Linked DNA regions of Lepisosteus oculatus. The protein of the gene in region 4 purifies or fractionates together with the protein of the main gene of each other region. This does not show direct contact. Links are inferred from orthologs where the notes say so. Each region holds a gene or a part of one and is shown on either strand. Other genes may lie near its edges. The genes, in order: exosc10, zinc finger C3H1 domain-containing protein, hbs1l and exosc5.

What was found.
Region 1: the proteins of exosc5 (region 4) and exosc10 purify together in Homo sapiens (co-immunoprecipitation; 8 studies listed by BioGRID and IntAct, with this or other methods). This does not show direct contact. The link is inferred for Lepisosteus oculatus from reciprocal best matches to the Homo sapiens genes EXOSC5 and EXOSC10.
Region 2: the proteins of exosc5 (region 4) and zinc finger C3H1 domain-containing protein purify together in Homo sapiens (affinity purification with mass spectrometry; 3 studies listed by BioGRID and IntAct, with this or other methods). This does not show direct contact. The link is inferred for Lepisosteus oculatus from reciprocal best matches to the Homo sapiens genes EXOSC5 and ZFC3H1.
Region 3: the proteins of exosc5 (region 4) and hbs1l purify together in Homo sapiens (affinity purification with mass spectrometry; 3 studies listed by BioGRID and IntAct, with this or other methods). This does not show direct contact. The link is inferred for Lepisosteus oculatus from reciprocal best matches to the Homo sapiens genes EXOSC5 and HBS1L.

What each region holds. Positions count from the first base shown.
Region 1 is NC_090720.1:2,766,156-2,773,717, reverse strand, and holds the start of exosc10 (exosome complex component 10), read left to right. Parts: upstream 1-4,557; 5' UTR 4,558-4,754; coding exon 4,755-4,880; intron 4,881-5,368; coding exon 5,369-5,505; intron 5,506-5,881; coding exon 5,882-6,005; intron 6,006-6,577; coding exon 6,578-6,682; intron 6,683-6,963; coding exon 6,964-7,129; intron 7,130-7,261; coding exon 7,262-7,370; intron 7,371-7,562. Other genes in the region: serine/threonine-protein kinase mTOR, read left to right, coding at 251-323, 511-585, 820-955, 1,238-1,303, 2,152-2,232, 2,687-2,767, 3,335-3,440, 3,855-3,870. UniProt on the Homo sapiens protein: Catalytic component of the RNA exosome complex which has 3'->5' exoribonuclease activity and participates in a multitude of cellular RNA processing and degradation events.
Region 2 is NC_090702.1:22,679,736-22,687,109, forward strand, and holds the start of zinc finger C3H1 domain-containing protein, read left to right. Parts: upstream 1-4,374; 5' UTR 4,375-4,541; coding exon 4,542-5,076; intron 5,077-6,156; coding exon 6,157-6,594; intron 6,595-6,962; coding exon 6,963-7,039; intron 7,040-7,374. UniProt on the Homo sapiens protein: Subunit of the trimeric poly(A) tail exosome targeting (PAXT) complex, a complex that directs a subset of long and polyadenylated poly(A) RNAs for exosomal degradation. The RNA exosome is fundamental for the degradation of RNA in eukaryotic nuclei.
Region 3 is NC_090697.1:50,019,631-50,026,553, reverse strand, and holds the start of hbs1l (HBS1-like protein), read left to right. Parts: upstream 1-3,906; 5' UTR 3,907-4,074; coding exon 4,075-4,117; intron 4,118-4,642; coding exon 4,643-4,708; intron 4,709-6,061; coding exon 6,062-6,196; intron 6,197-6,334; coding exon 6,335-6,529; intron 6,530-6,923. UniProt on the Homo sapiens protein: GTPase component of the Pelota-HBS1L complex, a complex that recognizes stalled ribosomes and triggers the No-Go Decay (NGD) pathway.
Region 4 is NC_090698.1:6,249,030-6,256,467, reverse strand, and holds the start of exosc5 (exosome complex component RRP46), read left to right. Parts: upstream 1-4,430; 5' UTR 4,431-4,464; coding exon 4,465-4,570; intron 4,571-5,123; coding exon 5,124-5,237; intron 5,238-6,363; coding exon 6,364-6,485; intron 6,486-6,761; coding exon 6,762-6,902; intron 6,903-7,128; coding exon 7,129-7,218; intron 7,219-7,299; coding exon 7,300-7,395; 3' UTR 7,396-7,438. Other genes in the region: bckdha (2-oxoisovalerate dehydrogenase subunit alpha, mitochondrial), read right to left, coding at 1,183-1,359, 2,373-2,489. UniProt on the Homo sapiens protein: Non-catalytic component of the RNA exosome complex which has 3'->5' exoribonuclease activity and participates in a multitude of cellular RNA processing and degradation events.

The DNA.
Region 1 (7,562 bases), on a different chromosome or scaffold from region 4:
TTTTATTAAATGGTCAATTTTTTGCATTATTCTTTTGTCCGGCCTGTACGTGTTTTATGACTTCTGCATGCAGCCCTGGACTTACTGCTGGGTTCGTTAGTCATAGTATGGCTTTGCATTCAGTCGAGCGCGTGCCTGAACTTCGCCCAGTGGAACCAGCACAGATACAAGGCTAGAGTTACTCCTGTTGCAATGGCATATTAAAGCAAAGACATGATGCCATTACTATCCCCTTAAACATAATCCCCAGGCATCCCTCCAACCTGATGCTGGACAGACTGAGTGGGAAGATCCTCCACATCGACTTTGGCGACTGTTTTGAGGTGGGTTTGTGAATGATTTTCGTTACTCCGCAGAGCGCAAAGTGATAGGAAGAGGTGGAGAGATGATATGGGAAGGACCCACTGTTGGCAGTGTAGGCGTTGTGTCTGCTGGGGAAGAGAAGAGCTCTTTCCTGCAAGGAACAGAGTGAAGGAGATATTAACGCTAACGTGTTGCTGTGGTTGACAGGTCGCCATGACCAGAGAGAAATTCCCGGAGAAAATTCCTTTCAGGCTGACCAGGATGCTTACTAATGCTATGGAGGTGAGCGGGTGTATTTAGGGGGGGGGAAATGGTTAAAAAAATCTTTATAGTGCAAAATAAATGAATGTTACACAGTAACAACTGTGTTGTGCGTGCACTGATGTTGATGGCACCATGCAGAGAGGTCAATAAGAAAACCAGGGTGCTGTTAGAAGCAGGACTGGTGAGTCCAGGGATGCGGGCCAGCCCGTGCTCTGGGGTCTCAGGGTGTTCCGCTCCGTGTTTGCCGTCCAGGTGACGGGCCTGGATGGGAACTACAGGATCACGTGTCACACGGTGATGGAGGTGCTGCGGGAGCACAGGGACAGCGTCATGGCCGTGCTGGAGGCCTTCGTCTACGACCCCCTGCTCAACTGGAGGCTCATGGACAGTAAGGGACCCGCAGCTCAGGCCCCGGGGCCAACCGGTCCGCCAGCCTGACTACCCACAGAAAACATCCTCTTTAAATCTTTATCATGGGAGCGTTCAGGAAATTGTAGTCTTCTGTGTGTCTTTTATGTGTTGCCTATCATAAAGTACACATGCTTTTAGCCATAGTTGCATCTTAAATTTAACTGTGTGAGAACTTCTCATTTCTGGTAGTAGCCTGTGCATGACCTCTTGCACCAGTACCACCTTGAACTCGCTCACAGCTCTTCGGTTCTGTCCACAGCGAACACAAAAGGGAATAAGCGATCCAGGACGAGGACCGACTCCTACACCGCGGGGCAGTCCGTAGGTGAGCACGAGGGCTGGGAGGGGTGGCACTGTAGCAGAGAGGTTGGTCTCAGGACGTGTTCAATTGGGATGTTACCTGGTGAATATGGTGGGCAATCAGTACATGGCTCTGCACTCACTCTCAGCCTTCTGAGGACTAGAGGGAGAATATTAAATTGGTTTGCTTGTGCCTCTGCTCTGTAGCAAGCCTACTGAAGGAAAGCAAACTTTTTTTAAGGCCATATCATGGGCTCCTTGGATATGGGTGTTTATGGCGATGAATCATTAGGTGATCAAATCTATGTAATTAAAAGTGTCAAATTTAAATCAAAGGATATTATGTTAAAACTGTAAAAATGTATCATTGAGAATATTGTTATAGAATAGATATTGTTGCTTTGGAATCTGTCCAGAGAAGAGCAACCAGAGACCTTCTGGGACTTGAGGGACTGAACTGTCCTCCACTGGCAGTCTGAAGGAACTGAATCTCTTTCATGTGCAACAGAAAAGACCGTGGGGGGATCTGATAGAAATGTTCAAGGTTTTCAAAGGCACTGACCCAATCAAACCATTTAAAAACTAAGAACAAGGAGGAATGTTTTTACTCAAAGAGTAAAGCAAGCTACCCAGCCAGGTTATGGAGCCTGACTTCTTTCAAGTAACAGTTGGATGAGATCTTTGGAACAAGAAGAAACTTCATGTCAAACGAGCCATGGTGGTCAGTTGATTGAACTCTTATTTCTAGCTTTCCCTAAGAAGGATCTGCATTCCAGAGTGGGAGAATCCAAATGGGGTGTAGGGTGCAGAAACGGTCAGAATAACGTCTTCATACCGAAAAAAAAAATATTCTATGCTTTCTTTCATTTTCAGAAGCCCTGGAGGGAATTGAGCTTGGTGAAACGACACACAAGAAGCCAGGAACCACAGTGCCTGAATCCATTCACTCCTTCAGTGAGTTCAGACTCGCAGGAATACCGGCGTGTCTGCTATCTGGTCATAGACCATAGAGCTTGAGAAAAGATTGTTCCCAAGAAGAGACAAGCTTCTCTTTTTCAATTCTTACCACAGATGCGTGGATCAGAAAACCAAAACAACAGTGAACGTTTCAGTTTGCCTTTGCCTGTCTTCTGTCTTAAAAAAACATTTCCATTTCTAACACCACAAATTGAATTGTTCATTGATAGCACATGAAGAAAGACCTTTTGTCAACAGCGTGACAGAAGGTAGGAGAAGGAACACAATACTGGCATTCTTTAACTTAATAGAATGCAGAAAATGTCCTACTTTATTTGGCTGAACCAACTTCCTTTTGTCAAACATTTCAATGCATTTTCCAAAACATTCAGCAAGATAATGGGGACACATGTTTTTGAGAACTGAATCTAAAATGTTTTCTCCCTTTCAGTTGGAGATGGCCTAGTGCAGCCTGAAGCCCTGAACAAAAAAGCTATTCAAATCATCAACAGAGTCAGAGACAAATTGACCGGTGAGTACAGCACAGTCAAAATGCCATCAAAGCTTGGAACAATCAGGCTTAGACATTGGTGAACAAACTTGTTTTCCAACAATGTGGGTGAAGTACTATATGAGTGTATCTCTTAAACAGGAACTCCCCATCTGGGAATAAAACAACTTATCTTTAAAATATTACATGAGAAAAGCACAGCCCAGAAAATCCACAGAGATTTTTTCATTTTTAGGAAATATTTGTTCAGTCATGTAGTCTGAAGGGTGACACCACCTCACATGAATAAAAGCCTGGAAGCTGTTTATTCATGTGAGGGACATCCATGGTCTACATCTGTACAGCTTTGTTCTTGCACTCTAGAACAGCTGTTTCGCAGCAACAACTTTGACCAAAATTAATGATAAAGTGGACACACATTGAAAAACAAAAAAAATGATGTTGCATTGAAATTGATATTAAAGGTTTTAAATAAGTACTTAGCCCTCATCCCCACTTTGATATGACACATAGATTAAAATGAATTACTCGCTGTTCCTGGAGTCCTGAAGGATGGCTTCTGATGCTTCCCTGCTTGTCCCCTCTCAGGTCGGGATTTCTCCCACGATGAGACTCTGGACGTCCCAACTCAAGTGGAGCTCCTAATCAAGCAAGCGACCTCCCACGAGAATCTGTGCCAATGCTATATTGGATGGTGAGCACTATTGGTGCCTACATGAATCCCCAGTTGACAGATTGGGGTGTGGTTCTTCAGATATGTCCAGACAACAGCTTGTCACTGTAGGAGAACGATAGATGATGTAGGCAAGAAGGGTTCGGCCAGGGTGGTAAATATACCAAATATACCAAAGCAAACTAAAGGATTGTTGTGTAATACTGTGTCTGGGGATTAGGAGTTCTGCCCTTCTGTAGACAGAGGTGAAGCCTACAAAAGGTTAAGACTGGGATTCCGACGAGGAGTTAGGTTTTGTTTTATTGGGATTTTTTTGTACTGAAAGAATTTGTATTTCTGCAGAAAAAGCAAGCTGACACATCAAATCTCCCCTTGAACAAAAGGAAATCTGCAATCTGAGGCATCTGACTTGTTTTTCCTTTTCTCCTCCTACAGGTGTCCATTTTGGTAGCAGAGCTCCTACATCTTTTTCTCTCTACACCGTTCACTAACACTTGGCGCCATGCCGATCACCACAAAACAGACTCCGCAGTTCCAGACATGGAGACGTATAGCAGTGTTAATGGCACATTTTGAAAGCCCTGAACGCAATTTAAACCTAAACTGAACTCAAATGAGGTTACTGCTGTGGACTTGGAATGTTGTGAAATGCCACTTGCGTACTGTTAAAATGAGTTAAATATAAACTAAATTTAATTTAATTTACTCACCATAAACTTTTGAATTAATATCAGTCTGCTGTAATGTACTGTAAGTTTTCTTTGGCAATAAATAGTAGATAAAAAAAGACATTTGCATACTCTGTGTGTTCCTTTGTTAAAAAAATGTATTACTGAATTGTAACTTTAAAAAGTAAATGCGTTTCATATGAATACTATTGGGTTGACTTTTCTTCAATCTTGTACTTTTGCATTGGTTGGCCAAATGTAGATTTGAAAGCAAAAGCAGCTTTATCCAATATGTAATTTAAATAAATCACCTAACACGAAATAAATGAGAAGGGACATTACCCCCACTGTCCTGATAAAGTTGCATTGTAGGCTTTATGTGGTAAACCTATTTCTGAACCTCATAGCGATGTCTGTTGTGTATCGAATCTGCTGGTGTCGAATCGTTGTCTCGTTTTACTCAAAAAGAGTGCTGCTCTAGAGTGGTGGCGGCGGAGGAGCACTTTGAAATGAAAGTTTTATATAAATACAAGGGATTATTATTGTTATCATACTTTGATTAGGTACTGTTGGTCTTATTATTTATTATTTTCTTCGGCCATGCCGCCCGGTTCCTCCCCCTCCCCTAAGAGGAGTCCACGTCTCGCGTGACTTTAACATTTTCAAGATGGCAGCGTCCACGAGCAGGAGTGGCAGAGGCAAGGGAAATAATATTTCTCCGACAAACGAAGAGGCAGAGGGCGAAAAACCAGAACTTTTGCCCGGCTTTAAGGATGCCGATTCATTTGTGAAGGTTTGTGGACGAATTATTGGTGAATACCCCCGGTCATTCTCGTATAAAGGCCTGTGGGTGAATAAGGGTTCACGAGTGGCGTGTTTACCAGCTCAGCTGTAAACGGTGTAATTAATAAAAAAAGACGGTGTGATTAAGGTGCAGAGTAGTCACGCTTTATAAGGCTCTATGAGTGATGGCTACCGTTTTTTAAGTATTATACCACAAGGTGCAGATTTTTATCTCCGTGCGTTCCCCCTAAAAATGCAACGAGCTTTGCTGTTAACGTGGAAATGTCTGGTTTTACCTTTCCCGACGTTTTAAGAAGTACCATTAAAAAAGTGTGCAAAATCCACAGTGTGATATGCTCGATAAGAAGCACTGCCGTTGTGGAGTATAAACCTTAAATTGTACGAGCATACGCATCTGTATCGTGTTTCGGTTGTTTAGTTTCAATTGGTTTTTGACTGGCTGCTCTTGACAAGTGGCTCTTTGAATCTGTTTTACAGCACGGCTTGGGAACTGTAGTAGCGGCCACGAAAGCTTCTGCAAATCTGCCGCAGGCTGGGGACGAATTCGACTTCTACCGGAGCTTTCCCGGATTCCAGGAGTTCTGCGAAACGCAGGGAGAAAGACTTTTGCAATGGTAGGCAGTTATAGTAAATGTGATTCAGTATGTAACATAAAAAGCATTGAATGGATGCTGGTGAAATTAATAACTGTATCGTTTAGATCCTGTGTAAAAGCGACTTCATGCGTGTACAGTCCTAGGAGTTCTTTCTAGCTACGTCAGTAGCTGATCTGGTAGTAGTGAAGTGCTGTTTAGATCAGTCAGATTTTTACTAGTTTGTCTGAAGCTCTCTCTGTGTTATTAGTTTTATTTGCATTATCAGCTTATGCATGCATGCATATAATTGTGTACATGAATTCATACATGAAAATATACAGAGACATTGTAAATCTCTGAAGTGTTTCTAGTGTCTTTAAGATTGCTTGTGACGATGTAATGGATGTATTTGCAGTATGAGTCAACTGATGCAGTACCATGGCTGCAAATCTCACATGAGAGATCGCAACAAAGTGACTGGCCTGGAGGAGAGATTCGACTTGCTGGTTGACTCCAATGATGTCATACTGGAGAGAGTGGTACAGTATAATCTTTTTCCTGGACAGCCTTTTCAATGTAAAACCAGGTCCAGAATGGTAGAAGGCTTAGGGCTCTGGTCTGCCCAAAAGGTCATGGGTCTCACTCCTTTGAACGAGAGTCCAAACTTTAAAACTGAGAACCGTTTACAAAAACAGTAATCGTTTTGGATAAAAAGCAACTATCAGATTAATCAAAGCAGCTCGAAGGGCAGAGATAGTTTTAAAAGCTGTAACACTGTTGCACTGACTTTTTGGTTGCTAAGATTTTGTCCGTCATTGTGTTTTGTTGGGAGTGTGCTGTAAAATGAGACAATAAAGGCTGAATTGGTAAAAAAGCCGTTCAAGAGCAGTATAAAGCACACAAAAACAAATTGGCACCCTTCACCAACCAGGTTTGTTAAACCAGCATTTTGGTTACTAAACTATAACTTGTATTGCAAATCTTGAGGAGCCCTGCTTAAAGCTGATTCTGAGTTGATGTATAATTCTTTTAATGCATATTCTTCTCAAACCCTTGATATATCTAACTTGTCATGATTGGCTTTAAATTATATCTGTTGTTGTTTTTGCAGGGAATACTACTGGATGAGGCTTCAGGAGTGAACAGGAACCAGCAGCCCATCTTACCAGCTGGTATTCAGCCTCCAAAGACCATCGTATCTAGCTGGAACCGCAAGGTAAGACCGCTCATGGCTAACCATGAACTCACGAAGCCAATTCACAGGCTTCAGGTGTTGGATAAATCGGAACTTCTATCAATCTGTAAATTCCATACTCCTGGCTTCCCACAGTAGACCCCTTCCATCTCCGTTTTGGAAAGCCATTGTAGGGTTCGGAATTCCCAATTCACAGTCTGTCTGGCTTTAGAAAAGTGGATGTCTCGTGCTTACCTTTGTTTTTTCATAACTTGCTCTGTTTAATAGCATCCAGCAAAAGTCCCTTGTCTCTTGATTCCTAGAGCAGGGATTCCAGCAAGGCGGCCAAGTCTGAGACATTTCGCCTTCTGCACGCAAAAAACATTCAGCGTCCTCAGCTGAAGTTTCGGGAGAAGGTCGACAATTCTAACACACCCTTCGTCCCCAAGATCTTCGTCAAACCCAACGCGCTGAAATCCCTTCCAACGTGTAAGTTGGTCCCAAGCGTCTTTGACCTTGCAAATGTCATCTGGAAAAGGAATTTGTATGAGGCAATGCAGGTATGATGATCAGTCTTTGACATTGTAGGTCTGATTCTTTTTACTCGTTTGTCTTTTTAAGATTTTACAGACCAAAAAATCCGCAAGGAGAGGCCTGAAGATCTGGATGTGCCTCCAGCACTGGCAGATTTTATCCACCAGCAGAGAACACAGCAGCATCTAGATGACATGTGAGAGAGCCAGTGGTTATTGGATATATATACCATTGTAAAATAAAACAAGTGTACCGTGGAGTGGACTTTATCGTGTCTTGTATTGCTTTAAGGCATTTGCCTAAAACTAACCAGTTAAGTCTAAGAGGAGTTGATTGTAATGCTCTTATTTGTAACCTTTATATTGTATTGCTTGGAATCTGCCACACA
Region 2 (7,374 bases), on a different chromosome or scaffold from region 4:
TTTTCAATCTTTTTTATGTTCTGTGAAACCCAGCAAGAGCAATATAGGGAATTTAATGATGATGGATTTGAAAGAATGAATTTGAATTTACAGTGCCATGCAAGAGTATTCAGACACTTGCATAGTTTTGACATTTTTGACATAAACAAATATTTATTACAATGACAAAACACATAAACTACACAGCACAAAACATACAACACACAAAGTTACATTATGTACAGTATTTACAGACAAGGCGTTTCAGAGGGCTAACATTCTGGTCACCCAGAAAACCCCAGACTGCTACTAAGCACTTAACTCTTAATATGCCTACAGACGCCACACAAGAAATGAGCTGCCTTCTAACTAAATACAAAGTAACCTGCAGTTACATCTCTCTCTTTGCACCCTGCATGCCACAAAATAAATGGGAGCCTTTATCCCTATCCATAAAATGCACACTAATCAGGAAAGACGTTTTTAACTGAGGTATCTTTTACCCAGGAAACTCAAGTTCCCTAAAAACACAGAATAGCACACTCTAATAAGGTTCAAATACTTAGTCTAAATTGAAAAACCTTGGAGTGATATTCTAATCTGGATTAACATTCGACCCACATCTGTGGCATATTGTCAAAACATCTTTTTTTCACCTCAGAAATATCACTCAACTAGGCCCTATGCTGTCACTAATTGTGGCTGAAAAGCTGATCAACACATTTGTGTTCTCTCTGCTGTAATGCTCTACTCACTGGGGTATCTAAATCTACTTTGAACAAACTGCAGTATGTCCAAAATTCAGCAGCCAGAATCCTGACCAGGTCTAGTGCAAGTGTTCACATTACTCCTGTCCTGGGAGTCCTTGCACTGGCTTCCGGTCAAATTCTGTGTTGACTTTAAAATCCTCATGCTCACTTATAAGGCTCTGCATGGCTTGGCACCTCAATAATTGTCTGAACTATTATCGCCCTACTCCCCACCTCGCAACTTTCGCTCTTCAAATTCTGGTCTCCTTTCTGTCCCCCAAGCCCGTCTACATTGTATGGGTGACAGGGCCCAAGCTCTGGAACTCTCTGCCTAAGGATATCCGAGAGTCACCTTCTCTAAACTCATTATAATCCAGACTTAAAACCTTCTTCTTTAGAAAAGCCTTTACTTAACTGTTCCATTCTTCTGCTTTTCTTAGTACTACCATCCTCAGTCTCTTCTGTATATTGTAATTGTTTTCTTTATTGTATTTTTTTCATTTATTGTTGTTGACATTCTGTAAAGTGCTTTGAGAAGCCACCTTTAAAGGTGCTATATAAAATAAAGTTTATTATTCTTATAACTTCCCTAGGTATACTAAGGTAAACTTTACCATTGTTTCTGCCCAAGGGACCTCCCCCAGACATCAGCAAACATCCTCTTTGCTTTATAATTAGAAGTATTTTCTCTTCTCAGTGTCACAAACGTTATCTAAAATCTAAGAGACACTTCTAAGTCACCTAGCTGGAACATTAAGGTATTCATTTGCACCGAACAATGTACAAATGACAAACAATGTACAAACAATGGTTTTGAATAGTTATGCAGTCACAACTTTTCCATTTGTCTTTCATATTAATTATTGACTTCTTTCTTTTTGTGACTGATGTGTAGAGGTATATATAACAAATGACTGTAAGCCACAAAGCAGCAAAATGTCAAAACTATGCAAGTGTCTGAATACTCTTGCATGGCACTGTAAATTCAAATTCATTCTTTCAAATCCATCATCATTAAATTCCCTATATTGCTCTTGCTGGGTTTCACAGAACATAAAAAAGATTGAAAAATAAGAGGACAGACAGCCTATTTACAGTATATTTTTTATTCTACCAAATACATTGTTGGAGAATCTCATATATCCATTTCTTGAAAAAAGCAGAAGCAAGATAACAGTTTTGACAACAAGCAGCCTTGCTCAAGGCTTTCAAAGCATTATTACCAGTGAAAGTAATGGTGACTGCTTCTCATAAACTGGGACTAGTAAGCTTGACAAGAGTATTGGGAACATAGAAAGGCAATGTGCAGGCAACATTTAGTGGTTTAGAATTATTTAGAATCTTTGGAAAGACTTGAAAACGTCTGTACAGAAGCAATACCCAAGAAAGCTGAGAGACCTTTAGCAAATCTGCCAAGAAGAGTGGGCATAAATTCCATGAAGCTGGTGTACAAAGGTACACAAAGGTACTGTACACAGACTTACTCAAAATGACATAACATAACATGAGGTGACATAACATAACATGGAGGTGGTGGCTGAGAGGAGAATGCTGACCAAGCTCATAGCCATCATGAACACCTCTCATCCGCTTCATAGGACTGTTACTGGGCAGGGGAGTACATTTAGCAATAGACTGCTCCAGCTACGGTGTTCAAGGGAACATTTCCGCAGGTCTTTCCTCCTGGCGGCTGTCAGGGTGTATAACGCTGCCCTAGGCTAGGACTGTTAGCCCTTCATTTGCTCCTCTATGGACAGCATGTTTACTCCATTGTACTTTTTGGACAATCAGTCTGTATAAACCTATGCACATTTTGCACATATTTTATTGTTTTTACAATGACTATGATCAGCACATTTTGCACACACCTATGTATTTATTTATTTTTATTTATCTTGTTTGTCTTTTGTTTTATAACTATTCTGATGTCTGTTTTGCTTGTCTTGGGCTGGACTGCTGTAACACATCAATTTCCCTACGGGATTAATAAAGTATTATCTATCTATCTATAACAACAACATCACGTTATTAGCCCTATACAATTTCTTGCATTAGGAATTCATCTTTTCACATACCCCAGCTTGCTTTCCATGAGAGGCAGACAGGAAGAGAGAAGTTTGGGCTCAGAGCACAGGGTCAGCCATTGTACAGCAACCCTGGAGCAGTTGGGGTTAAGGGCCTTGCTCAGGGGCCCAATGGAGTAGGATTTCCCCACCAGCTGTGGGATTTGAACCAGCAACCTTCCAGCCACAGGCGCAGATCCTTAGCCACAGATCAAACTGATTAAACATGAAACTGTATTTGTTGCCAACGGTGCTTCCAACAGATACTGAGTTCACAGGTCCGAATACTTATGCAGTCAACATATTTCAGTTTTCTTTTCTCTTTAGTGTTTGCTGACATTTATTGTGTTGTATCCTACCCTTAGAGATATTCAGTCTGAGGCTTCAGGTCTTAAATGACATATTAGGTTTAAAAAAAATGTGTATTGTTTTGCGATTTTAGAAAAAGGACACCATAGGATGGGTCTGAATACATTCGGAAGGTACTGTAACGTATAATGTTCAGGAACATGATACATTTCCCCCAAGCCCATCTATGATGGCGTTTTTAAAGAACATGCTTCATGTTAATAATTTTCAAAATACCTGTCTCATAAACTGTTTTTAGTGTGAATTTATCTAAAGATCTGGAGGATATTTTTCTTAATACTTTTGTATTATGCCCCACAAAGGGGGCAATTCATGTGATAGTTACAGAGCACCTAAAGTAAATCCATGCTGACCCAAAGATAAAATGCACATTCCACGCAGAATTCACCCCATCCAGAATTGAACCAAGGACCTAAGAACTATGAAACTATAGCAACCACCCACACTGGAATGGAACTGAATTAAATATATAACATTTCCATTCTAATATTATTTTTCTGCCATAGTATTTTGTGTTATAATGTAATTCTTTTTTAAAATTCTTGGAAATCTCTAAATGATTTAAATAATTACATGTTTACTAATTTCATCGTTAGTAAACGACACGCAAAGAAGTAAATAATTGGAAAAATAAAAGCATCTACACCTCTAAGATTCATTAAGTGTAAATAACTTTGAACAATACGGTCAAACGTCGCTGCGCGGATTTGCACTGTATATTTTACTAAAAATGTCGACTTTCGCAGTGTCCCGTTATATTCTTCAGGGTAAATTTTTGGGACAGTAAATGAGCTCTCAACTCATTCAAGTCAGGTCTTTCAGGTTATTTAGGAATGCTCAAATATTTTACTTCATGTGGTTAAATGAGCAGCTTCTCCTATACCCGGGAAAATTTAACATGCAAGATTTATGGAAACAAGAATCCATAAGGTTAAAATGTAATCACGGAAAACAGTTAACATTGCATCAATGCTACACATGACGTTCGGGAATTTACAATTGCTTCGTGTACACGAACGAATTTAAGGCATCAGTTCAGCACTTTTATTGAGGAACACGAAAAACCAAAAATACCAAAGTAAGGTTACATGCCACAAGTAAATCGCAACTTTCTGCGTCTGTCATTGCATGCTGGAAACACACAGCCTATCAACATGCAAACGTCTAACACGCTGGCAGACGCAGCTTCTCCTACGACATTTGCGCACACTCGGTTTTCCTTGCGAGTCTCGCGATAGAAGAGAGCGACGTGAGGCCGGATCTCGGACCAGGAAAGAAGATAGGGACTGCTGGGGAATTGCACGTCTGTAATTGCTGATTTCACAACCTGGCCCAGGAGCATTCCTGCCTTCCAGAGCAGTTACATCAGTAGGGAATAGCGATGGAACTGAGCTCGAGCGTTCGGTCTCCGAGGGAAGAAGGCGAGCTGGAGGACGGGGAGATCAGCGACGATGACACCGATGAAAGGCAATTCGTGCGCCGTGACAAGAGGCCTAGCAGCAGCTGTAACAGCAGCGCAGGGCGTTTCGCTCGGAAGCCCAAACCCGGACCGCGGACATTACCGCCGCCTCCCATGGGGGGACCCGGCCTCGACTTCCGAATGAAAATGCCGTTCAACCGGGGACCCCATCCTCATCCCCCCAACTTAACTGGCCACAGGCAGCAAAGTGGAGCAGGCGTCCCCGACCGATCGCTGTCAGCCCAGCATTGCGACTCGGGTCCCAGATCGTCTTTCTGGGAGCGCAGCCACACCGCGCTGGGCAGGCTGAGGTACCGGAGGCCAAACGATGGCCGCGGAGACTGGGGCAGAGGGGGTTGGGGTGAGGGGGTTGGGGGCAGAGGGACTGGAAGGCCGCCCCCATGTCGACTTGGATTCGCCGGGGCACCTATCAGGAAGGAGTCCCCTCCAAGAAAGCGTATCCTTGCCCGTCCTTCGTTGCCACTGTACGAGTCCGACTTCAAAACCCGTTGATTTTTATACTTTCCTGGACAGTGAATCGTACAGCGTGTTACAATTCGTATCGCACATGTTGAAGCGATGACCGGCTTCTGTAGATTCGCTGCCCACACTCGAAATGTTAATGTGACCATTTTGGGTAACTGTGGCTATAAATATTCCTTTTCCTAAGACGAATAAGAGCTGTGTCCCGGTCGTGTTTCTAGGCGTTACCCCGACCACATTTGCAAAAATGTATCTTTTGTTCTTATTATACATACGGTATATGTTAGCTCTGCTACAAGGCTTTAAACAGACAGCTCAAGAACAATCGTCGAGACCGGAGGTCGACGTCAGCACCTAACAGGCGCAGAATCCTCTTTCGTTTGTACAGTTGACTTCCGCTGTTGGCACAGTCAGACGACTTCAGGAATAACGCAACCCCCTTGAGTTGTACGGTATAGGATAGCGGACACACAAACCCAAACTAGTGCGAGGAAGAATATTTGGTTGAGGTTTTTTTGAAAAGCACATTACGTTTGTACCCATGCACGTAGCTGGGCATTTTCCTGGAGCAAATTGGTCCAATTCCTCACTGCTCATGTGTTCAACAGACGTTCTTTCATCTTTCTGTAAAGAAAAGTAAAGCAATCACAGATGAATGGTTCATAATCAAAACACTAACAGTTGACACCTTTAAGCAAAGACTATTATTTGTGAACACCTTTTCTTCTTGTGGATTAACTGTCCACTTATAAGAACAAAGATGTCATTTGGCCCATCAAGCTGGTAGTTATTAATTGATTAATTTCATCCCATTGTTTTCTCTAAACCAAGGTTATCGGCTTCAATAACATGCCAGGGTAGCTTGTTCCATGTTCCCATAACTGTAAAACAAGTTTTAAATGCATGTTGTTTCCACTTGTGCTCACTCAATTTTAAATAATACAAATGGTTAGTTAGTAATACATTTGCTATGTAAAACTGTTATATAATGCAAACCTAGCATGTTTTTGATTCGGTTTTACAGATATTTATCTTCCTTCACTTCTTTACTCAGCAAAATTGTTTGGGAGACCTCAGGTGAGGAAACCCATTCATAACACTGCCAAAACCGAAAATGGTATTGAAGAAAGCTTTGAGGATTTGCTTTTGAAATATAAGCAAATTCAACATGAGCTGGAATGTATTAGGAAGGAGGAGAGGATGGCGCTGAGCTCCAAAGATCCTTCGCCTCAGAAAGAGGTAGAAGGAGCCCCCAGTGTTGATCAGGCTGTTTCAGGCACGGTCAGTATTCAGAAGGAAGCTGCTATAAAAGAGTCTCCACCTCCGGAGAAGCCCGAAATCAAAGTTTTTCAGGCTTTTAACCTGAAACCTTTAAGGCAGAAGCTTCTGACCCCTATGGAAAGAGATGAGATGAACAAGAAAAACACGAAGGAAGCAGAAAAGTCAGAGAACGCTGAAATAAGCCCCCTTGAGCCCAGTGACACAATAAAAGGTAAAGAAAATTCCACCTTAACATAATTGTACATCACATTCACCATTTTATTTGACCTCGCTAAAATATAAACACCATAGGGCTTTTCCCACTTACTAGAGATGTGTGTGTGATATGCCACTTTTCTCATTTCCTTTTTTATTTCTACTACATTACTCTAATGGTTCTCTTTGTAATGCCTTTTCATCCTTACAGATGTTAATAATTACCCTAATAAGTCAGTCTTTTGCTACAATTCCGTTTAATTTGTGGATTGCCTCTGTCTTGAACTTGTAATGTCTGCCTTGAAAGTGTGCGGATTAGTCATTTGTTTTTACTTTGACCAAGTCCAATGGGAGAAGTGTTAAGCTTGTTTCTCTTTCTTAAAGATAAGGAAGATGAGGAGGAATTGGATTTAAACAATTCTTATCAAAGCAGCAAAGAATCAGATGACCTGCCTTATACTGTAAGTAACACAGAATGACATTCACAACGATGTCCGACTCGGTTTAGTCTTAGCAGGCATTTCTCCCACAGATGTTTTGCGTACACCACAAAGCTGTATTAATCATACAGCATTTGAGTGTCTTGGACAAGATTTTCCTGCATTGTTCTTCATGATGTGATGAAATCATCGCCAAGATTGATTTGAAGACAGGTTTTTTCAGATTACACCTTGTATTAATTAATTCAAAAACATTTCCAATAGGACTCAGTAAATGACTGAATTAATTACTGCACCAGTGGAGAAACGTTCTAAGATTTACTCGCATTATGTAGTAAATGGCAGTGTGGCTGTTA
Region 3 (6,923 bases), on a different chromosome or scaffold from region 4:
ATGCCCCAAAACCAATTTTAAAGCATTAACAAATTTGACGAAGCATAACACAGTCACTTTATCAAAATGACACCAAAACATTCAGTCAAAATCCAAAATCTGCATACTTCAATTTTTTTATACATAATGATCATACATAGAATTATTATTTTCTTTTTTTCCCTTGCAACAAGAAGTAAAAGAAAAAGAAGAATAAGAATATAACAAAACTTTGTTAAAGTGGTGCCGAGATTCATCCTTCATAAGAAATGGAAGTAAATGCTCTATCAACAGTTCACAAAGTCTTAACTGTTATGAAGCCAATGACAGGCCTACATTATAGAAAAGCTTTATGATATGGAACTATTGTGATGTACTGTACTGTATATATTTGAGAAACTCTTGTTTGAGGATTGTACTAATTAATTTTAGCACAGTGTGGGTATTTCAGATTTTTCATTTTTTCTGCAATTTGCCAAGTAAACTATTCACCTTTTCAGGAAAATGAGTGGAGTTAGGAAATACCACATACTACCTTAAAAAAATAAATGCTTTAAAATAGTAGTATACCGCATACTACTGTATGGCTGTGTACAGAAGTATAAGAAAATAGTATGTATATATCTGTTATGAGCATCAACAATTTACTAAAAGCCTCCATTAGTCTGTTCTACTATTATAGTAGCTTTGTTATTAATACAGCTTAGTTTGAGAAGAAACTAGAGTTTCTCATTTTGAAATCTGAAATTCATATTGATTAGAATCTCCAAAAATGTGCTTGCTGTCCGTTTGAATTCTTGTAGTAGCACTTACCACTAATATCTCAAATATAAAAGTAATTGTCAAGTTTATCGTATTGTGAAAGCCATTAAGTGCAATGAACAACAACTGAAAATCTTTTATAACATCCTTAAGAAGAATCTTCCTATAATCTTCTTTTAGACAAAAAAATAAATACTTCTGAATATACATATGTGGGATTTTATTTGAAATGTATATTTTATGTGACAGAAATTCTAAAATTCTGGATTGAGATTAGGGTACAAACATTATGATTTTAAGCCTATTTCTATATCACACAGATTTAATAAGAAAATCCTTCCCTAGTTCAAATTTCCCTTCTAGTTTCGATGAAGAAATAATAATGTTTTATCTGTTTAAGAAGGCAACAAAGCAGAGCTTGGTTTCTGATTTTTCTTTCAATGACATTGAACAAAGGAAGAAAGTGAAAAAGGTACATCTGTAAATTTGCTTGCAGCATGCAGCACACCTGTCCACAAAAAGGTGTCTCATCTCCTGTGGATGCTGCTTATAAAAATGTTTATTTGAAAACAGTCAGGTCATTGCTCCACTGACATCGACATGCCCAGCTGTTATGTGAATGGACACTTAGACCTTAGCCTTTCTCAGTGCAAGCAAAAAGAACTATTTTCTCAAAACAATGTCTATATAAGCTGTGTCACATAATGTTGATGTTGCTGGCTCTTCAGCTTCACCAGTTCAGAGAGGGACTGTTCAAAATGTTTAGAAGAAACCAAAGAAGTAAGCATAGGCAAACTATTTAACACCTTTAAGTAATACTCATTTCTGCCTTACTGTATAGATTGAAACTGTAGGTTATTTTAGGAGGAAATGTAATTTTTCACTCATGACAATTTCTTTCCTCCTGCAACTTTTGTGTCTGTAAAACCTACTGTACTTTATGGTATATCAATCTAAGCTGACTGTCCAGCTGGTGCCAACTGTAGTTTAAAACATCGGGTAGGCTGTGCAAGTCATCAAAACCTACCGGTATTGTTTTCCAAAGCTTTGGTAAGTAGAAAATGAGGTCTGTCATTTGTATCAGGGGTGCACTGTAACTAAAACATTTTACTCAATTTGGACTTAGATTAAACCATAATAAACATATTTTGGCAGTTACCTGAAAGGAAGGTCTCCTGCTACATGTTGACTGTTCACTGAAATTAAATAATTTAACTACTGTATGTCATGCAATTTATCAGATGTCTGGAATGTGTGCTAAAATTTTTGTCATGCCATGTTCTTCATATTGACGATCTTCTGTGCTACAAGGGTGTAAAGCTTTGAATGAACAATATTTTAGTTTCACTTTGAGAACCATCCATTACCTGAAAGCTGCTTATCCCGATGAGAGGACAGGAGACTGGAGACTGGAGTCTATCCCAGAAGCTGTTTCACAAGACAACAAAGCAGAGCTTTGAGGGAGGGATCCAGGTAGGATCCAGGTAGGACCAAGAGCACATGAGTTGCCTTCCGCTGGACGGGACCTGAGTCCATTGCAGAATCATGGAGAAAGCGGAAATTTAGCACAGCCAATAATACCTAGGCAGCACTTCTTTAGAAGTTGGGAGCAAACCAGAGCACCTGGAGAGAACTCATTTCAAAATCTGGAGACACAGTCACACCTTAGGCCAGACTAGGGCTATGAGACATCAATGTTACCTGCCATGACAATGTACAAAATATCTCTTTAAAATAACGGGTATGTAATCAGTATAATGGTTTTGAGCCGCTTAAATTATAACTAATGGAATGGAATACTAATGGTAGCTTACTTTACCAGTGTTAACCCATCATACATACTGGGCTCATTTCACACCGAAATGATTTTTACTGGCCTAAGCCAAAGATGGATATTATACCAGTTTACTTACTGTAAGTAATTCAAGTAAAACCAGAACGTGAGAGAAGAGGCTATCACAGAGAAAGAACTGCATTATCAAACTCCTTACAGGGTCTGTGACCCTGGTCCCTGACAGCCACAGTCTCTTTTGGTTTTAACTCACAGCAGAGTTCTTACTGACTTATTTGGATTGAGCCTTCTCTTAACCACTAGAAGTTGTTATTGTTCCAGATCTCCCCTTGTCAGCTACTTCAATTCACTTCTAAACCTTTTGAGACTACGGATGACTAGGACCTGCATCCTGAATGGTTCTCACTTCCATGTTTCCCAAGTTATGTTTGGTCTGTTAGTACTGTATGTAAAACAGCTTAGTCTCCGGTGTTTTGAAGTGCTTTTTAATATTTTTCATTACACCTTTGAAACAATAAAAATTACAGTCTAACTTTCCAAAGATTGTCGAAGAGAACCAAACTGGATTTAGCTGTTTGAAAGAAATTTAGCTGTGCTGAATATAGTCACAAACTCTGGATTGTGTGTTTATGCTCCCTTTCAAACAAAGGGTTAAGAAGAGCTGAGTCAGACAATACAAAACACACTCAACCTGTGCCCGAGTAACCTGCAGGAAACCCCAAATATGCGTCTCTTCTACATTTTCAAAAGGATGTTTTTCCCTACGACAAGTGATTGATCAGCTTGTGCAGCTTGCTGTTGTCATAACCTTGTAAAAATGTTAACAGCAGGTGAAACAGTTATTAACCTTCATGAACTGTTCAGGCCATAACAACGCGTTTAGCACATTTTAAAAGGGCAGATTGTACCTGCATCGTTGTCCTCTTTTGTTATGACTTAAAAGTCTCAGCCACAGATTGTTTGGTTTCATAAATTACACAACATGACACCCCCTTGCCTCCTCCCCCACTAACATATGTCATGAGAAAGTAAAAGTAAGAACAAAATAGAAAGAGCCCTATTGCATCTTTGGAAAATTAACAAGTTTCTTAAAATGCTAACATGCTTGTCTTTTCCAGTTTAAGTATTTTCTTTTTCTTTTTGGAGTACAGTGGATCAATAGTTTGGAATATTTCAGTTTATGATCGCAGCAGTATTGAATTCAGAATTCCACTTTCATTGTGTTACAGACCCAAATATTTACTAAAGATTGACTGTAACATGTCAATTTAGGTGAGCAGGTGTAGGACTATTGCTTGAAATAACTAACTTAATTTCACTTCGGCGCGTCTCAATGGTTAACTCGGCACAGGCAGAAAAACGGAGCTGGAGCAGAGAGCTGCAGTGCGCTTGCTTGGAGAATGCGCAGTGAGACGTCGGTGGAAACAAACATGGCGGCTGGAAAATGAAACGAAGCAGCTACGGTTACATTGCTGATTTATCACCAACAGTGCGGTTTTATCTTTAACCACCTATAAAGGGGCGAAGGGAAAGAATCCAAAATGTCTCGACACAGAAATGTCCGGGGCTATAACTACGACGAAGGTAGACGCTCTTCCAAGTTGACTGTAAGATTGTGATATTCCCTTGTCAGGAAAATGGAAGTGCTGTCGTGTCCCTTCCACAGGCTGGGCACAGGCCAACGCTTTAGTCAGAAAGTTTTATAACATACGAGCTAGCGGATACATAAAAATAGCTGTAGTTATTCTATAAAAGCGCTTTTGTGTACGAATTTGCGAATGGAATGAAACTGAATCTTTCCTTTAAAAAGCAAAACAAGATGTACTTCATGTGGTTTTACATTTCCCCCATTCATCCTGGCCTCCTCCTCGTTTCAAATTAGCAGTACTGATAGTTTAGGACACCCCTGTACGTTAGTCATTATTGAACATTATAGAACTTCTGTAGCTTTATGTAAATAGTTTTGGTGTTTAGGTGCTTTTAGTAGTTAACACAATTTGTGTCATAAGACTTAACTGTTCATTGCAAATACCTACCAGTGTGCAACGACAGATAATACATAGTGTACCATGCTTAGATATTTTCACAGCTACAGTTTTGTATACACAGATTTTGAAGATGATGATCTATATGGGCAGTCCGTGGACGATGACTACTGCATTTCCCCTGCTACAGGTTTGTGGGATGCGTTTCTTATGTGTCTGAACTTGAATTCTAAAGTTTTCTGAATCAAGATTTTGCCGATTTGATTAGATGGTTTTCTAGTGGTCTAAGCACTGTATTTGTTGAACATGGACCTCATTGAAGATGTGGACGTTTATGCAACTTGGTTATTTTCAATTTGAAAGCTAATCAAAGGATTCGATATAAAACCTAAATTAAGTGGATGAAAAATCTGCATATTTTGTTTTGTAATGTTTTGAACATTGGCTTTTATCTTGTGTAGTATGAACTACACATGATGGATGCGCATGGATAAGTGTGAAACTATTTCTGATTAGTATAGTTTTAACATAATCACACTGTTTGTGGTAAGACTTGGTGATGTTTCACACATTTAGGGTTTTTATTACTTTTCTTTTTTTAATTCTTTCTTGGCAGTAAATATGGATTGTTAAAAGTTGGATATTCTGCATTTTTATGATTCTACACATGATATTGTATTAAAACATGCAATTGTCTTCTTTGCATACTTATTTAACTTTAACAAGAAACTACAGTTTTGAATAAAGTCATATTTTGGTGTGGCAGGTTTATCAGTATTAAACTAAAGACAAATGAACAGAAGCATTCTGGGATGATGTGTCATCTGAGCTAGTAGATGAGTATGCAATGTCTATATCTTTTATTGGTCAAAGCCATTTGTAATATCTTGCATCTCTCTAGTTACTCAACCAATTTATTAAAATTCGTGTTTGCCTGGTAGGATTATCCATTCACAATGGAATAATGTGGCAGTGGGTTTGCAAGTGGTCTGGTATTTGACCTCTTTTGGCATCAGTTGTAGCTGAACACAATTAAAAAACAGTTTACTAAAACGTGTGACGTCTGTGTTAAAGCTATCTGTCCACAGTAAGTTTTTACTTTCAGATGCTTAGTGTTATTTGTAAATAAACGTTTTGGATCTTTCAGCCAGGTTTTAAATCATTTTTGGACAACTAGTGTGATTTGTCCAGAGTATCCTTGAGAGTAAATACATTCAACAAAGTAAATCAATTTAGTGAATTTTGGGAGAAATGAAGAGGCAATTTATGGAAAAGGGACAGATGATTTGCATGTGTAAGGATGCTAAGTAACCTATTGAATTGTGGCGACTCATGTATGTTGATGTTCACTGTCTTAATGTTTTGAATTTTTTTGTTGCCAGTATAGTTACAAAACGATCCCCTACCATGGAATGAGGCAGCTTGACTTCTTGTGTCACAGTTTTCTGCAGATGAAATGATGGCGCATGCGTAAGGCGGGAAATTCTGGATGATAGATTTTGTGCGTCTCCCCCCTTAATATCCCAGTGTGCTTGTTTTGCAGCTGCCCAGTTCATCTACTCCCGACATGAGAAGCAGGCAGCCTATGCAGAGCCCCTGGAGGAGGAGTATGGGGCCGAAGAGGAAATGCCTGTCTCTCCCAGTCCGAACCATCACAAACTTGACACTCTTTCTCAAGGTATAACACAAAGCTCAAGTGATTTTAACAGATGTGACATTAATTTGATGACGCTATCAGTTTGCAAGTCATATAACATTTTCTTGATGTTAATGAAAGGCGATCAGCACAGTTCCCTCACACACTTCTTGTTTCCAGGGCAGCTGTACTCCTGTCTAGATCAGATGCGAACAGTGCTTGGCGATTCCATCCCTGATCCTGTGTTGGTAGAAGCTGCACTCAGCTGCCAGTTTGACCCACAGAAGGCTCTGGACTTAGTGCTTTCTGGGGAAAGCAAGAACACACCAGCAAGAAATCAGCAAGACAATGTGTCTGCTGTGAAAACTGACAGAGGTATGTTTGTATTGTCTTAATTCGTTCTGTTGTTTATTCAGCAAGCAAAATACATTTCTTTGCGCGTGCGTCACACCTTAGATTTTCTCATGACTTCGAAACCCTCAGTCGTGCAGTTGGTGTGTGCAATTCTGAATAAGCGGACAGCAAAAAGTTTTTTCTACTATCTGAGGCTTTCACTAAATTGCATTTCAGAACACTGTTGCTTCAGTGTTTCCAACAAAGTCAGGAATAACTAAATATTTACACAGAGGTATTGTAGTTAAAACCCTGTTTAAATATTGATAGTAATTAGGAACTGTTTATTCACTGAATAATATTCCCTCATTATTACCTGTAATGACTTGAGAATTAATTTGAGAACATGAGAAGTTCATTTTCTCAAATGGTTTAA
Region 4 (7,438 bases):
GTGCAATGGGGCACACAGTCCAGGTTACAGTGTGGATGCTTAATCACGCTGTGGACCGTGTGGAGCACGTTTTGGAGTGTGTATGCGTCACCCACCCAACCACATCAAGGACTGCAGAAGTACAGCAATAAAAGACTTTCTAATTGACTTTCTCCTAACGAGGTTGTTAAGAGAAGGAGAAATTAACTTCACAGAAAAGGATGGAAACCACCTGATCCTGAAACACACTGCATGGGGACATGCTGTATCAGACAGGTGAGAAAGCCCAGCAGTGTGCTGAGCTGCTGTCCGTACTGAGCTCAGGGAAGGCTGAATCTGCACAGGCTGTCTCTCGCTCCCCTGATCCCACAACTCTGGGGTGTGGCTGGGAGCTGCTTGCATCCCAATGTTGCCCTGGGCAACCAGCGCATTCGGACAGACTCCTGGCCTCCTTCTGACCCCGTGTGACCTCACTCAGGACGAATCTCCCCAGGGCCACTGATGCTTCTTCAATCACACAGACCCTCCCAATCTCAGTCAGGCCCCCGAGCAGACTGCTTCAGCTGATGGCATTAATTCAGATAGCTGTACTCATGCCAGCCTCCTGCTGCATCAGGGCACCCTTCTTCGTGCTCCGTAATAATTCAGACAGCTCCATTTTCAATCAGCCTGCACCGCTACTTCATCCTCTCTCGTTAAGGCCTCGCTCCCGCCGAGCCCTCCTGGAGACTTTCAGGCTCCTCTGAGGACCTGCGCGGGCAGCTCTGCCTGCCCTTTCACCATGGCCCCAAGAGCTCAGCGACCACAGCCAGACAGCAGCAGGACGAAGGGAGAGAAGACCACGGAGAGGAAAAGGGAAATGAGAGCTGTGGAGCTGAGAGACAGAGAAAGGGGGAAGGAGAGTGTGGGGAGGCGGAGAGAGACAGTTGGGAGGCAGCGAGAGACAGAAGAGAGGCAGAGAGTGGCAGTAGGGGGCCGTAGAAAGGCAGAATGAGACAGGAGGGAGGCAGTAGAGAGGCAAGAGAGAGGCAGTAGGGGGGCAGAGAGAGGCAGTAGGGGGGCAGAAGGGAGGGGTTGGGGCACAGAGAGGCACAGAGAGAGTGAGATGAGAAGCAGCGATGAGGGAGGAGTGAGAGAGGACAGGAGAGGGGAACAGGAAGAGAAGAGTGGGACTCGTGTGGACAGAGGCGGGTGAGCAGGCACCTGGGGGTCCTCGGCCGGGTTGATGATTTGGCCCTGCCTGTCCATCACGCGGTACACCGGGATGCCCGAGATGACATTAGGCTGGATGAACTCCAGGTGATCCACAAAATCCGCGGACGCCCCGGGGAACTGAGGCTTCTCATCCAGGGAATCGAAGGTCTGCTGCCTCAACACCGCCTGGAAGGGAAGAAACAGACATTAATAATGGACACAGAGCAATTCAAACATGAACAGTCCGCACTCCTGCACACTGACAGCACAGAGAGACAGAGGGGTTAAAACACACACAATCCACACTCCTGCACACTGACAACACAGAGAGACAGAGGGGTTAAAACACACACAATCCACACTCCTGCACACTGACAGCACTGAGAGACAGAGGGGTTAAAACAAACAAATTACATAGTTGCACGCTGACACTACATTATTCAACGAGACCAACTTATAGTGTTCGGTTACTATTATTTTATTAAAATAATAATGACGACAGGGGTTTGGGAAAAATCCGAGATTCACGCACACCTCATCTTCCCTCGGCAACCGAACACATATTTAAGGTGACCCTATTTTACAGGCGAAACGCCTCCGCCCCCTAAATTGACCAATCAGCAGCCCAGACCACCCAGCCTCGAGCCAAAGACTCGAGGTGATCCCAAAGTTATTCTAACAACTCACAATCTCGGAACAACACAAGCGCTTTTGCAGATAAAGCGATATCAAGACAGGCTTTCCATTTATTAGACTGCTGTGTGTACACGAACTGTGTTTTTGTATATATACGCAGTTAGTCAAAGCGGTGGATTGTGATGTAGAATCCATTTAGCAGTACAACGATAAACACATTTCAGATAAACACAATCGCACTATAAAGGTAGCCTTGTGCGTAAAAGATGACAAAAGCAGACTTTTTTCAATCCCGTCATTATAGTAGTAATCATAACCTCATCACAATTTTCAAGACAACAATATCAACAACAACCATATTAATAACAACAATGCAATGTATATATTCACAACTAATAATAATAGCAATGAAACGTAGCTCTATTATTAATCTATACATGTTAAAACACCTGTCTGATTACTGCAAAAGCCGCAGTTGAAAGCCGTATTGAATTTCAGTGAACGTGGCTTCTCCACGGTTTATCGACGGGATTGGCCGTGAAAGGGGGAGAATCGTCACTCACATTAACACGGAAAGCCCTGCCCGGGCAATGTCGTAATTTGGGATAAAATCCGGTGTTGTGACAGATTGATTTGAATCCGATTCTGCACAGACTCCTGAGACCTCCAGCCGCCGCCATCTTGGATCTTGGGTCTGACAAGCTGCCCTGTGGAGCTCCAGGCACCTCAATCGTCAAGGTCCCAGAAAACACACGAGTGGCAACAAAAAAACTCAAAACAACTCAAAATATGAAAGATGGAGACATATATTTATTTTCATTGCGTAAAAAATAAGTTTATTAGTAAATCATGTTTATAAAAGAGCGCTAAAAGGCGTGTCGTTGATTATCTGCTTTGTTTGTATTCAGGCATCGCTGTAGCCTTCTATCACGACTTTCATGGATGGACCCAATTACTAGGCGCTGTGCGTCACGTGATTCTGTAAGCGGGTTTTTCTTTTATTTCTTATTTAAATACAAAAAAAGAAACTACAACAAACAAGGGTATGCACATTCAGATGTCACAACATGACAGCACAAAGGCAACATCTAATGAATGGAACAGAATAACAACTCCATGGCTAGCAGCCCTATCACCCTGCAGCTCACAACTGGCAGCCCACTGGAGCTCAGCAGGTGTGAGCCTGATCAGTACCTGGATGAGAGACCTCCTGGGAAAGCTAAGGTTGCTGCTGAAAGAGGTGTTAGTGGGGCCAGCAGGGGGTCTTCGTAGTCTGTGTGGGTTCTAATGCCCCAGTATGGTGATACTGTAAAAAGGGGACATCCTTCGGATGACATGTAAAACTTAGATCCTGACTCTCAGTGGTCATTAAAAATCCCAGGGCATTAGGTTGTTACCCTGGCGTCCTGGCCAAATTTCCCCCTGGCCTTTACCAATCACGGCCTCCTAATAATCCCCATCTCTGAACTGACTTAATCACTCTGCTCTCCTCCCCACCAAAGCTGGTGCGTTCTGGTGCATCATCCAGGTGGGGCTGCACACTGGTGGTGGTGGAGGGGAGTCCTCATTACTGTGAATCATTACCTTCTAAATCAGTTAAAACGTTATCAACAGTACAGAGGTTGCGTGGTGTTAGGGGTCACATTAAATAATATGTTTATATGGTAAATGATTTCTGTAAACCAACTCACCAAGCATATTTTTAAATATTTTTAATGAATCTGAGTATAGCTTAAATGAATTAGAATTTTTTTAAAGCACTGTGGTCTTTATACAATACAGTATAGTATTTATAAATGATCCTTCAAAACAGATATAAAGTTCTGAGCCACAGGTCAGTTGGAGCTGTTCGAAGCTAATTGCTTACAGTATATACAACATTGTTTTGGATTGTTTTAAATGTTAAATTTAGATTTTGATATTATTTTATATTTTATTAGACCTGATTTGGATAAAGGATATGTTTTTATTATTAATCGGTTAATTATTTTGGCAAAATACAAAATACATCCAAAAAAAGTAAATGGTCTAATACTGCTCCCTCTATTAATACTTTCAAGGTAGAAGTCCTTTTTTATTTAAATTCTATTAGAAATGTTAAAAATCAAAAGGCAAGACATTCAATGGAATTATGTAAAAAGTTTAATTTTCAGCTTTTATAATTGTGAATTCCTCTGGCTGTGAAGTGTGTCTATTTTTGTATCTGTATTAATATTTTGTCTCATTTTTGTATTCCTGATGCTTAAATAAAACATTAATACAATAAAAATGTTTTTGACTATTTCTAATTGCAGTAGAACATCCCTCTGAGAAGCATCTTGACTCTTATAAAATAATAATGAAACAAATATGGTGTTTAAAAAAGTTTAACGATTTAAATGATAAAGTGATTAAAAATATCTAATATCTAACTGAATTTCAGATCTGTTGTTTTTACATAGGAATTGTTCAAAAACATAAAAAATGTACAAAAACACTAGCAGTATTCACAGAAAATGTGTCTGTCAATTTGACGTTATAGGTTTAAATGGTCACAAAATTCAGCACAGTGGTGAACGTCATTTACCAGCGCCTTTGTTTAAGATTCTGGAAGGGCTCTATTTAGTGACGTATTAGGTCTGCGCCGCAGAAACACCGCACTGCTTGGTACACACGATGGAAGTGGAGGAGAGCTCGACTCACCCCACCACAGCTCTGAGGGAGTTCGGCTGCGAACAGAACCTGCTGTCAAGACCGGATGGTTCGGCCTCGTTCGTGCAGGGTATGTTCATGCTTTACATTTTTTTAAAAAAGGATTTAATTGCAAGCGCTGTCTTCACGCGAGTCCACTTGGGCACAAACAAGGTTTCGTTGTTTCTTCCCTCATGCTTCATTTTTATCTGGTTCTGAATGAGTTCGGAAGGTCCTCTTCTAGCTCTATAGTGCGTTTGGGCCCTATGTTATGCACTCTCTGTGCCCGTGCCGCTGTCTTGACCGCTCACTCTGTGCCCGTGCCGCTGTCTTGACCGGTCACTCTGTGCCCGTGCCGCTGTCTTGACCGCTCACTCTGTGTCTGTACACATGCCGCTGTCTTGACCGCTCACTCTGTGCCCGTGCCGCTGTCTTGACCGCTCACTCTGTGTCTGTACACATGCCGCTGTCTTGACCGGTCACTCTGTGCCCGTGCCGCTGTCTTGACCGCTCACTCTGTGCCCGTGCCGCTGTCTTGACCGCTCACTCTGTGTCTGTACACATGCCGCTGTCTTGACGGGTCACTCTCTGTGTGTGTGTCTGTACGTGCGGCTGTCTTGACCGCTCACTCTGTGTGTCTGCAGGAGACACCAGTGTCCTGGCTGGGGTGTACGGGCCAGCGGAGGTGAAGGTCAGTAAGGAGATTTATGATCGGGCTACAATGGAGGTTCTGATCCAGCCGAAAGTGGGCCTGCCAGGTGAGAGCTAACCGCCTGTCTCTGCTCTGCACACACCACACTGCATCAGGGTATACAGGCGGAGAGTGTTGTGTAGCGCTGACCAGCAGTGCGCTGTATTCTTTATTATCTTCAGCCATACTCTCTTTGTCTGCAGGCCATACGCACCAGCAGTACCACCTTGCAGTCTGCAACCTTATCTTGTCAGGTCTTAGAAACTAAGCAAATCTGGAACTGGACAGGACAGTGATGGGAAAACAAGGCTTCTGCAGGATGTAGCACTTGCGGACCAGTAGGGGGAACCCTTCCCTCTTCAAGTTAATTTCCAATACAAAACTAAATGTTTCATTAAAAAAGTCCTAGCATGCTGACAGGGGACACTGTGCAACAGGAGGTTCTGTCCGTCTGGTGAGATTTTAAACTGAGGTTCTGAATACTTGATTGTTAAAGATACCTTGTACTGTTCATCTCAGTAGATTAGTTAACACAAGAGGTTTGACCAAATTCCACTCTGGTCTGAAACAGTCTGCCCTACTTAAAGTTCCCCTTTATTCAGCTGGTGAGGTAGTTTCTCTCTCCTACTGATGTGCAGTTATATATGTTGCACTTTGGGATGAAAGGCTCAACATTGTGTAATAAACACATGACTAAACTGACCCTGACAGTGTGGAGAACACCCCCAGAAGAAACATTTGATGTTTGCAATATCACCTTGCAAGTGTTAGATGTCCAATACTACTGTTCGCCACAGTGTGGCAGCAGCTTCATGTATAATAACCAAACACTGATCGCTACCCTGATGGGCTGCATTAACCCTCTGCTGTCTGTGTCCTCCTCCTTCTCATCTCCTTCTCCCTTCTTTTCTTTTAACCCACCTCACCACTTTATTCTTTTGTTTCTCTCCATGTTTTTCTCTCTTTTATCTCTGTCCCGTCTCCCTCCTTCTGTCTCGAAGGTAATGAGAGCTCTAGCAGTGCAGGGTGTGGTTCACAGCTGCTTTGACGATTCAGTGCTTTGTTGTCTCACTTTGAAAATTGTCGTCCTTTGTTGCTCAAGCAAAAGCCTGGTGGTGGTGTTTTAAAGTTTGTGAACGAGAGGTTGTCAAGACTCTCTCTGTCTCTCCCTCTCTCCCGGTCTGAGTGTGCAGGAGTGGCCGAGCGCTCTCGTGAGCAGTGCGTGCGAGAGACGTGCAAGGCGGCTCTCCTCTCCTCTCTCCACCCGCGCTCCTCCCTCACCCTCGTCCTGCAGGTCGTCCATGATGATGGGGCAGTATCCTTCACAATGTGTCTGTGTGCAGGAAGACCAGTCTGTGTGTCTCTGTCTGTCTCTGTGTGCAGTAAGGCCAGTCTGTGTGTCTCTGTCTGTCTCTGTGTGCAGTAAGGCCAGTCTGTGTGTCTCTGTCTGTCTCTGTGTGCAGTAAGGCCAGTCTGTGTGTCTCTGTCTGTCTCTGTGTGCAGTAAGGCCAGTCTGTGTGTCTCTGTCTGTCTCTGTGTGCAGTAAGGCCAGTCTGTCTCTCTGAGTCCTGTTCCTTAGTGAGGACCCCAGCTGTTGGCGTGCAGTTTGAATGCTGCTTGTATGGCCTTGATGGACGCGGGACTGCCCATGCGCTGCCTTTTCTGTGGGGTGACCTGTGCCATTGACCCTGAGGGCCACATCCACACTGACCCCACTGCTGCACAGGAGAGGGTACTGTACAGTGCACAGTGTGTACAACCTTGTACATACACTGACCCCTCCAACACTGACTGCTTCACTGACTCAACAAGTGCCCCTAGACACTGGTCCGTACGGTGTATTGACTGGACCCCTAGGGATCCCCACACACTGACCAACACTGCCCCCCTAGTCTGAACCTCCTTTCCACCCATTTTTTTTATGTGACAGTCTCTCTTTCCCCATCTCTAAATCACAGGAGAGCCGCGCAGTGATGACATTTGCCATTGACAGTGCAGAGCGCAGAGTGATGATGTCATCGACCAAAGGGTCCTTCTCAGTGAGTGAGGTAAGCTGCTGGAGCTCTCAGTCTTGTGTTTGTGCACTGCAGCTCCTTTCTGTAATAACCCAGTGTCCTCTGCCTCTCCAGCTGCAGCAGTGCATCGCAGTCAGTCAGCGGGCATCAGGGAAGATCTTCCAGTTCTACAGAGACTCTGTCAGTAGGAGATACTCCAAGATGCTGTGACTCCGCCTCTGCTCCTCTCTCCCTTTCTGTGCCTTTTTGTATT